2 linked regions of the Macaca fascicularis genome follow. The protein of the gene in region 1 interacts with the protein of each later gene in a pairwise test. Links are inferred from orthologs where the notes say so. Each region holds a gene or a part of one and is shown on either strand. Other genes may lie near its edges.

The links.
Region 2: the proteins of SREBF2 (region 1) and SP1 interact in binary tests that used the Homo sapiens proteins (3 or more experiments, as listed by UniProt). The link is inferred for Macaca fascicularis from reciprocal best matches to the Homo sapiens genes SREBF2 and SP1.

What each region holds. Positions count from the first base shown.
Region 1 is NC_088384.1:9,732,237-9,736,051, forward strand, and holds part of SREBF2 (sterol regulatory element-binding protein 2), read right to left. Parts: intron 2,940-3,815; coding exon 2,825-2,939; intron 2,736-2,824; coding exon 2,554-2,735; intron 746-2,553; coding exon 553-745; intron 30-552; coding exon 1-29.
Region 2 is NC_088385.1:60,209,472-60,213,286, forward strand, and holds part of SP1 (transcription factor Sp1), read left to right. Parts: intron 1-674; coding exon 675-843; intron 844-2,476; coding exon 2,477-2,676; intron 2,677-3,731; coding exon 3,732-3,815. UniProt on the Homo sapiens protein: Transcription factor that can activate or repress transcription in response to physiological and pathological stimuli.

The sequences.
Region 1 (3,815 bases):
CATCATCCAGTCAAACCAGCCCCCAGAACCTAAGAAGGAGTATCTCAGCAGAGCCTGCCAGGAAAGGCCTTGCGGAACAGCCAGGCACCTGACAGACCCCAGCACTATCACAGGAACGAGTCTTCTACCGTATTTTCAGAAGAAAGGGTGAATAATTCTATAATCTAAACGGGGCTAATGACTGTAGCCCTTGTCATTATGGAGCTGAGTGCCACAAAAATCTTTGTTAGCTTGAAAGGGTTAAGGCATTGGTTTTGCAACCTCAGGTAAAAAACTCCATATCCTCCTTCAAATAGGTACCACCCCTCCACGCCAGGGTATTTAGAGTAGTGTGGGTCCCTGATTTGTTTTGCTCATTCTGACTGAACTTGGGCTTGCCTTGTTACTTCCAAAACGGAACTTATGCCAGTCCCTATCAGAAGCAAGCAGGTGGGGGCCCACTATAAAACCCCTTTGGGACCTGGTAGCCAAGCCAAGAAGTTTGTACACAGGGTCCTTCTCCTGCCATAGTGGTCCAGCCATGCCCAGGTGGTGTAAGGGGCCGCCACTTACCTGACTCAAATGACAGGACACTGCGGCCAGAGCCTGAGTGTGGGTGCTGGTCAGAGTCGTGAGCCCCTCCCCACTGCAGCAGGGAAGTCAGGGGGTTAAAGGAGAGGCACAGGAAGGTGAGGACACACAGAAGAATCCGTGAGCGGTCTACCATGCCCAGTGCCACAGGAGGAGAGTCTGGCTCATCTTTGACCTTCAAAACAAGGCCTCGAGGTTGGAATAAATACTGCATAGGTTTTTACAGCACTTTATAAATACATATATATATTGAGAAATGGTTATGAGGTTTAAATTCAAGTCTATTAACTCAGGACTAAGGCCAGATGGGAATTGAGAGGCCTATAATTCACTAACTGCTGCTCAAACATTGGCACATTCACCTGCTTGCTAACTGAGAAAAGTACATGTGCCAAAGAACAAAGGTAGAAGAGATTTTCTTTTAAAATAGAGCTCTACCACAAAAGAGAACACACTGTATGATTCTGTTTCTGTATAATTCCAGAACAGGCAAAATGAATCTAAAGTAACAGGAAACTGATGAATCAAGTAATTGTCTGAGGCTGGAGAGGGGTGTGGGAAACTACCTGCAAAGGTGTACAAAAGAGCTTTTTGGGGTGATGGAAATGTTCTATATCTTGATTATAGTGACAGTTACATAGCACTGTACATTATGTTAAAACTCTTGGTACTGTACATTTAAAGTAGGTATATTTTATTGCATTTAAATTATACCTCAATAAAGTTGATCAAAAATCATATTTAGTGTGAATCTATCTAAAGGATATTTTACCTGTTCTAAAACAGTACCATTGTCTACACCCACCCCACTCTCCATTTTATAGCAGGAGGGCTGGAGCCAGATCTCCCCTGCGCCCCAATGTGTATATAGCATGTCATTTCTTTTCAATATTTTAAAACCATTCTTCTGATGACTCAGAAGCCGAGCTAATTCAATTTATATGTCAAACAGCCTGTTGTTGCCAAACAGAATCACATTTATAAGAATATTTCAAAAACAGAGCATCCTTAGTAAAATTAAGTATGTGATACAATAAACAGCTTAGTCAAAAACAAACACTAGAAGGGAACTTTGTGCTTACAGAGTCAGAAACTGCCGAAGTCAAAATACAGTACAGAACCCAGTGGTCTCTACAGGTTCCCAGGAAGATCATTAGGCTCAGAGCCTCTCTTAAGTAATTCCATTAAACTACCATTGCCAGGGGCTTTCTTGGACGATTAAAGGCCCGTAGATAAAATGTTATCTGTTAGACTGCAAATTGTAATCATTTCTGAAAAGAGGACCCAGAGGCAGCCTCATCCTAAACGAATTGATCAGCCTCCCAAAGTGGTCTTGCCAGGCCCATTAAAGGCAGAGTGAAGCAATGAGGTGCCTTCAGCAGCTCCCAACGCCCCCACAACAGCTACTCCGCATTCCTGTTCTGGATCTGGCACTCATTACTCTCTGACGGGGCCTATCAGCAAGGACCAGTTAAACCTGAGGGACTGTTTCCCCCCAGAGTCAGTTTTCTTTTTCTTTTTTTTTTTTGAGACTGAGTCTGGCTCTGTCGCCCAGGCTGGAGTGCAGTGGCCGGATCTCAGCTCACTGCAAGCTCCGCCTCCCGGGTTTATGCCATTCTCCTGCCTCAGCCTCCGGAGTAGCTGGGACCACAGGCGCCCGCCACCTCGCCCGGCTAGTTTTTTGTATTTTTTAGTAGAGACGGGGTTTCACCGTGTTAGCCAGGATGGTCTCGATCTCCTGACCTTGTGATCCGCCCGTCTCAGCCTCCCAAAGTGCTGGGATTACAGGCTTGAGCCACCGTGCCCGGCTCAGTTTTCTTTTTCTTTATTCTCCAGGACCTGGTTAATTTCACAGAATTCCTGTTTCTCTCCAGGCTAGGCCCTCTGAACATGCAGCCTGGCCTCATAACTGTGACCTCGCAGCTACTTTCTTAGGGGAAATGGGAAAGATTCCAAGGATCAGAAGATTTCAAAAGTCTGTACCTTTGCATCATCCAACAGAGGGCTTCCTGGCTCAGAGTCAATGGAGTAGGGAGAGAAGCCAGCCTGTGACCCTGAGTCAGAGGCTGGGGGGGACATCAGAAGGACATTCTGATTAAAGTCCTCGATCTTCAGGTCCACCTCAGTGTCCACCAGACTGCCTAGGTCGATGCCCTTTAGAAGCTCTGCAAAGAAAACCCCACCTGGTGAAAATGATCTGCCTTTACAAAGCCCTAGCCGGGCCGGGGGACAACCCTGCTCTCAGCACACTTACTGTTCTTTTGATTTGCCAGCTTCAGCACCATGTTCTCCTGGCGCAGTTTATGATTGACCTGCTGCAAGTATTTGATGTAATCAATGGCCTTCCTCAGAACGCCAGACTTGTGCATCTGGGTAGGAAGATAAGCAAAAACACAGTGAGACCAGTGCAGGCTACAGGGTGAAAAGAGCAGAGCCCTAGCACTTGGGATGACAGCATGGCTCTGTGAGGGGAGAAACCAAGTTCAGATGCTGGCCCTCCCAACGATTAGCTGTGCCACTCGGGAGAAGTTACTCCATACCTCTGAACCTCACTTTCCACCTCATTAACACAGAGATAATGAGAGTCCGTGAATCACAGGCTTGCAGCCTGGCTAAATCAGATAATGAGTGTAAAGAGCTTAGCCCCGAGCCTGGCAAACAGTTGACACTCAATAAATATTAGCTATTGTTCCTACTTCTTACAATAATCCTAGCATAAAAACAAACTTTAAGGAAAACAAATGACAAAACACCACAGCATTGTTGGACAGCTATCTTTTTTTTTTTTTTTTTCCAAGACAGAGTTTCACTCTTGTTGCCCAGGCTGGAGTACAATGGCACCATCTCGGCTCACTGCAACCTCCGCCTCCCAGGTTCAAGCAATTCTCCTGCCTCAGCCTCCTGAGTAGCTGGGATTACAGGCGCCTGCCACCACACCTGGCTAATTTTTTGTATTTTTAGTAGAGATGGGGTTTCACCATGTTGACCAGGCTGGTCTTGAACCCCTGCCCTCGTGATCCACCCGCCTCGGCTTCCCAAAGTGCTGCGATTACAGGTGTGAGCCACAGCACCTGGCCTGGACAGTTATCTTAAGGCAAAGATTTTTACTTAGGATGTATACTTTTCAGATTTGTAGGCAACAAGGAAAATAATGAAATTTTCTTTCAAAATAGGGTTTAAACATAGATAGGTTTTAAAAATAAAATCTCCTACTTTCCAGAAGACACATTCAGTGAAAACACCAG
Region 2 (3,815 bases), on another chromosome or scaffold:
AATTTTGTATTTTTAGTAGAGACGGGATTTCTCCATGTTGGTCAGGCTGGTCCTGAACTCCCGACCTTAGGTGATCTGCCCACCTCGGCCTCCCAAAGTGATGGAATTACAGGTGTGAGCCACTGTGCCCAGTCACTCTTTGTATTATCTTTTTTTTTTTTTTTTTTTTTTTGAGACGGAGTCTCGCTCTGTCACCCAGGCTGGAGTGCAGTGGCCGGATCTCAGCTCACTGCAAGCTCCGCCTCCCGGGTTTACACCATTCTCCTGCCTCAGCCTCCCGAGTAGCTGGGACTACAGGCACCCGCCACTGCGCCCGGCTAGTTTTTTGTATTTTTTAGTAGAGACGGGGTTTCACCGTGTCAGCCAGGATGGTCTCGATCTCCTGACCTCGTGGTCCGCCCGTCTCGGCCTCCCAAAGTGCTGGGATTACAGGCTTGAGCCACCGCGCCCGGCCCACTCTTTGTATTTTCAATGATGATTCTTGAGATTTCAGTGAGTCTTCAGGTGTCAGTGAATGGAATGGCTGAACATTTTAAAAAGGCTTCAAAACTTGTGATACTGTGAACGTAGGATGTCAGTTCAAAAGAAATGATGCCGTGACTGTAGGGTATCACTGAGATGCCAGTGATAACCTGCCCGTGTCACATGTTGACTCTTTTCTCTCTTAATTATAGGTGATCATGGAGCTCAGCTTGGTCTCCATGGGGCTGGTGGTGATGGAATACATGATGACACAGCAGGTGGAGAGGAAGGAGAAAACAGCCCAGATGCCCAACCCCAAGCCGGTCGGAGGACCCGGCGGGAAGCATGCACCTGCCCCTACTGTAAAGACAGTGAAGGAAGGTGAGTTGACCCAGCAAGTTTCTTACAAATATGAAGAAAAAATAATAGGATTTGGAGGAAAGAGGAAGAAGGTTAATTTTTTTTTTTTTTTTTTTGAGACCGAGTCTTACTCTGTCTCCCAGGCTGGAGTGCAGTGGCGCCATCTCGGCTTACTGCAACCTCTGCCTCCCGGGTTTAAGCAATTCCCCCTGCTTTAGCCTCCCAAGTCACTGGGATTACAAGCATGTAATCCACACCTGGCTAATTTTGTATTTTTAGTAGAGATGGGGTTTCACCAGGTTGGTCAGTGAACTCCTGACCTCAGGTGATCTGCCCACCTTGGGCTCCCAAAGTGCTGGGATTACAAGCATGACCCACCGTGCCTGGCCTTGGGTTTTTTTGTTTGTTTGTTTTTTGTTTTTTTGTTTTTTTTTTTTTGAGACAGAGTCTTGCTCTGTGGCCAGGCTGGAGTGCAGTGGTGTGCGATCTTGGTTCACTGCAACCTCTGCCTCCCGGGTTCAAGTGATTCTTCTGCCTCAGCCTCCTGAGTAGCTAGGACTACAGGCATGCACCACCATGTCCAGCTAATTTTTGTGTTTTTAGTAGAAATGGGGTTTCACCACGTTGGCCAGGGTGGTCTCAATCTCTTGACCTTGTGATGCACCCTCCTTGGCCTCCCAAAGTGCTGAGATTACAGTTGTGAGCCACTGTGCCCAGCTTAACTTTTAAATTTTTTATAGAGATGGGATTTCCCTGTGTTGCCCAGGCTGGTCTCAAACTCCTGGGCTTAAGCAGTCCTCCTGCCTTAGCCCCACAAATTGTTGGGATTACAGGCGTTAGCCACTGCACCCAGCCTAGAAGCCTTTTTAAAAATTTAATTTAATTTAATTTTTTTTGAGACTGAGTCTCGCTCTGTCGCCCAGGCTGGAATGCAGTGGCGCAGTCTCGGCTCACTGCAAGCTCTGCCTCCCAGGTTCACGCCATTCTCCTGTCTCAGCCTCCCGAGTAGCAGGGACTACAGGTGCCCGCCACCACGCCTGGCTAATTTTTTTTGTATTTTTAGTAGAGACAGGGTTTCACCGTGTTAGCCAGGATGGTTTCAATCTCCTGACCCTGTGATCCGCCTGCCTCCGCCTCCCAAAGTGCTGGGATTACAGGCGTGAGCCACCGCGCCCAGCCCCTAGAAGGCTTTTTAAAAGGAAGCCTTGGTCCATCGCGGTGGCTCACGCCTGTAATCCCAGCACTTTGGGAGGTGGAGGCAGGCAGATCCATCACCTGAGGTTAGGGATTCGAGACCAGCCTGGCCAACATGGCGAAACCTCATCTGTACTAAAAATACACAATTCAACTGGACATGGTGGCGTGCACCTGTTGGTGCACTGGACATAGTGGCGTGCATCCTAGCTACTCGGGAGGCTGAGGCAGGAGAATCATTTGAACCTAGGAGGTGTGAGCCGTGATCATGCCGTTGTACTCCAGCCTGGACGACAGAGTGAGACTCTGTCTCAAAAAAACAAAACAAAAAAGAAGGCTTTTTCAAAAAATAAAAGTTTGGGTTAGTTTGGTGTAGGTTGGGTGACTGTTGTTGATACTTTGTGGTTCTTTAGTTTCTGTCTCTAGAATGAATGATAAATAGTTGTATCCTCACTTTCAGGGGCTCGGGGGATCCTGGCAAAAAGAAACAACATATTTGCCACATCCAAGGCTGTGGGAAAGTGTATGGCAAGACTTCACACCTGCGGGCACACTTGCGCTGGCATACAGGCGAGAGGCCATTTATGTGTACCTGGTCATACTGTGGGAAACGCTTCACACGTTCAGATGAGCTACAGAGGCACAAACGTACACACACAGGTGAGCAAGAGCCTATGGGAGAAAAATAGAGTAATAGCCTAGAATGAAAAACACAAAATATACCTACAAAATAACTAAAATTTCTGAACAACTTAATTTGAAACTAAATATATGGGTCACAAATGGAATTGGAGTTAATCTGGAAACCTTTTAAGAAGGAAGGAGGAGCTGCGCACAGTGGCTCACACCTGTAATCCCAGCACTTTGGGAGCCCAAGGTGGGCGGATCATGAGGTCAGGAGATCAAGACCATCCTGGCTAACACGGTGAAACCCCATCTCTAAAAATACAAAAAAATTAGCCGGGCATGGTGGCAGGCTCCTGTAGTCCCAGCTACTCGGGAGGCTGAGGCAGGAGAATGGCAGGAACCTGGGAGGCGGAGCTTGCAGTGAGCCAAGATTGTGCCACTGCACTCCAGCCTGGGCGACAGAGTGAGACTCCGTCTCAAAAAAAAAAAAAAAGGAAGGAGTTGGGTGCGGTGGCTCACGCCTGTAATCCCAGCACTTTGGGAGGCCGAGGTGGTTGGATTTCTTGAGGTCAGGAGTTTGAGACCAGCCTGACCAATATGGGGAAACCTTGTCTCTACTAAAATTACAAAAGTCAAGCGTGCTGGCGCACACCCGTAATCACAGCTACTCGGGAGGCTGAGGGAGGAGAATTGCTTGAACCCAGGAGGTGGAGGTTACAGTGAGCTGAGATTGTGCCACTGCACTCCAGCCTAGGCGACAGAGCAAGACTGTCTCAAAAAAAAAAAAAAGGAAGGAACTAGATTTTGAGTGGGATGTTTTGAAGGCAAAGCGTTGAAACCATTACTCTTAGTCTCTGCCCTGCCTTACTTTTCTGCTAAGTTCTACCCTCCTTACTGAGTACTCCCCAACCTTTATCTACTTTTCTTCCCCACGCCCCCACCAAAGGAAAAGATACTTGAAGATTTTTCTTGTTTTTAATCATCTTCTCATACTGGTCTTACTCAGCTTAGTAGAGTAATTACTGAACTGGGTAAGATAACCTCACTTCCTAACATGTCAGCTTCTTATCTTTCCTTCCTTTACCTAGGTGAGAAGAAATTTGCCTGCCCTGAGTGTCCTAAGCGCTTCATGAGGAGTGACCACCTGTCAAAACATATCAAGACCCACCAGA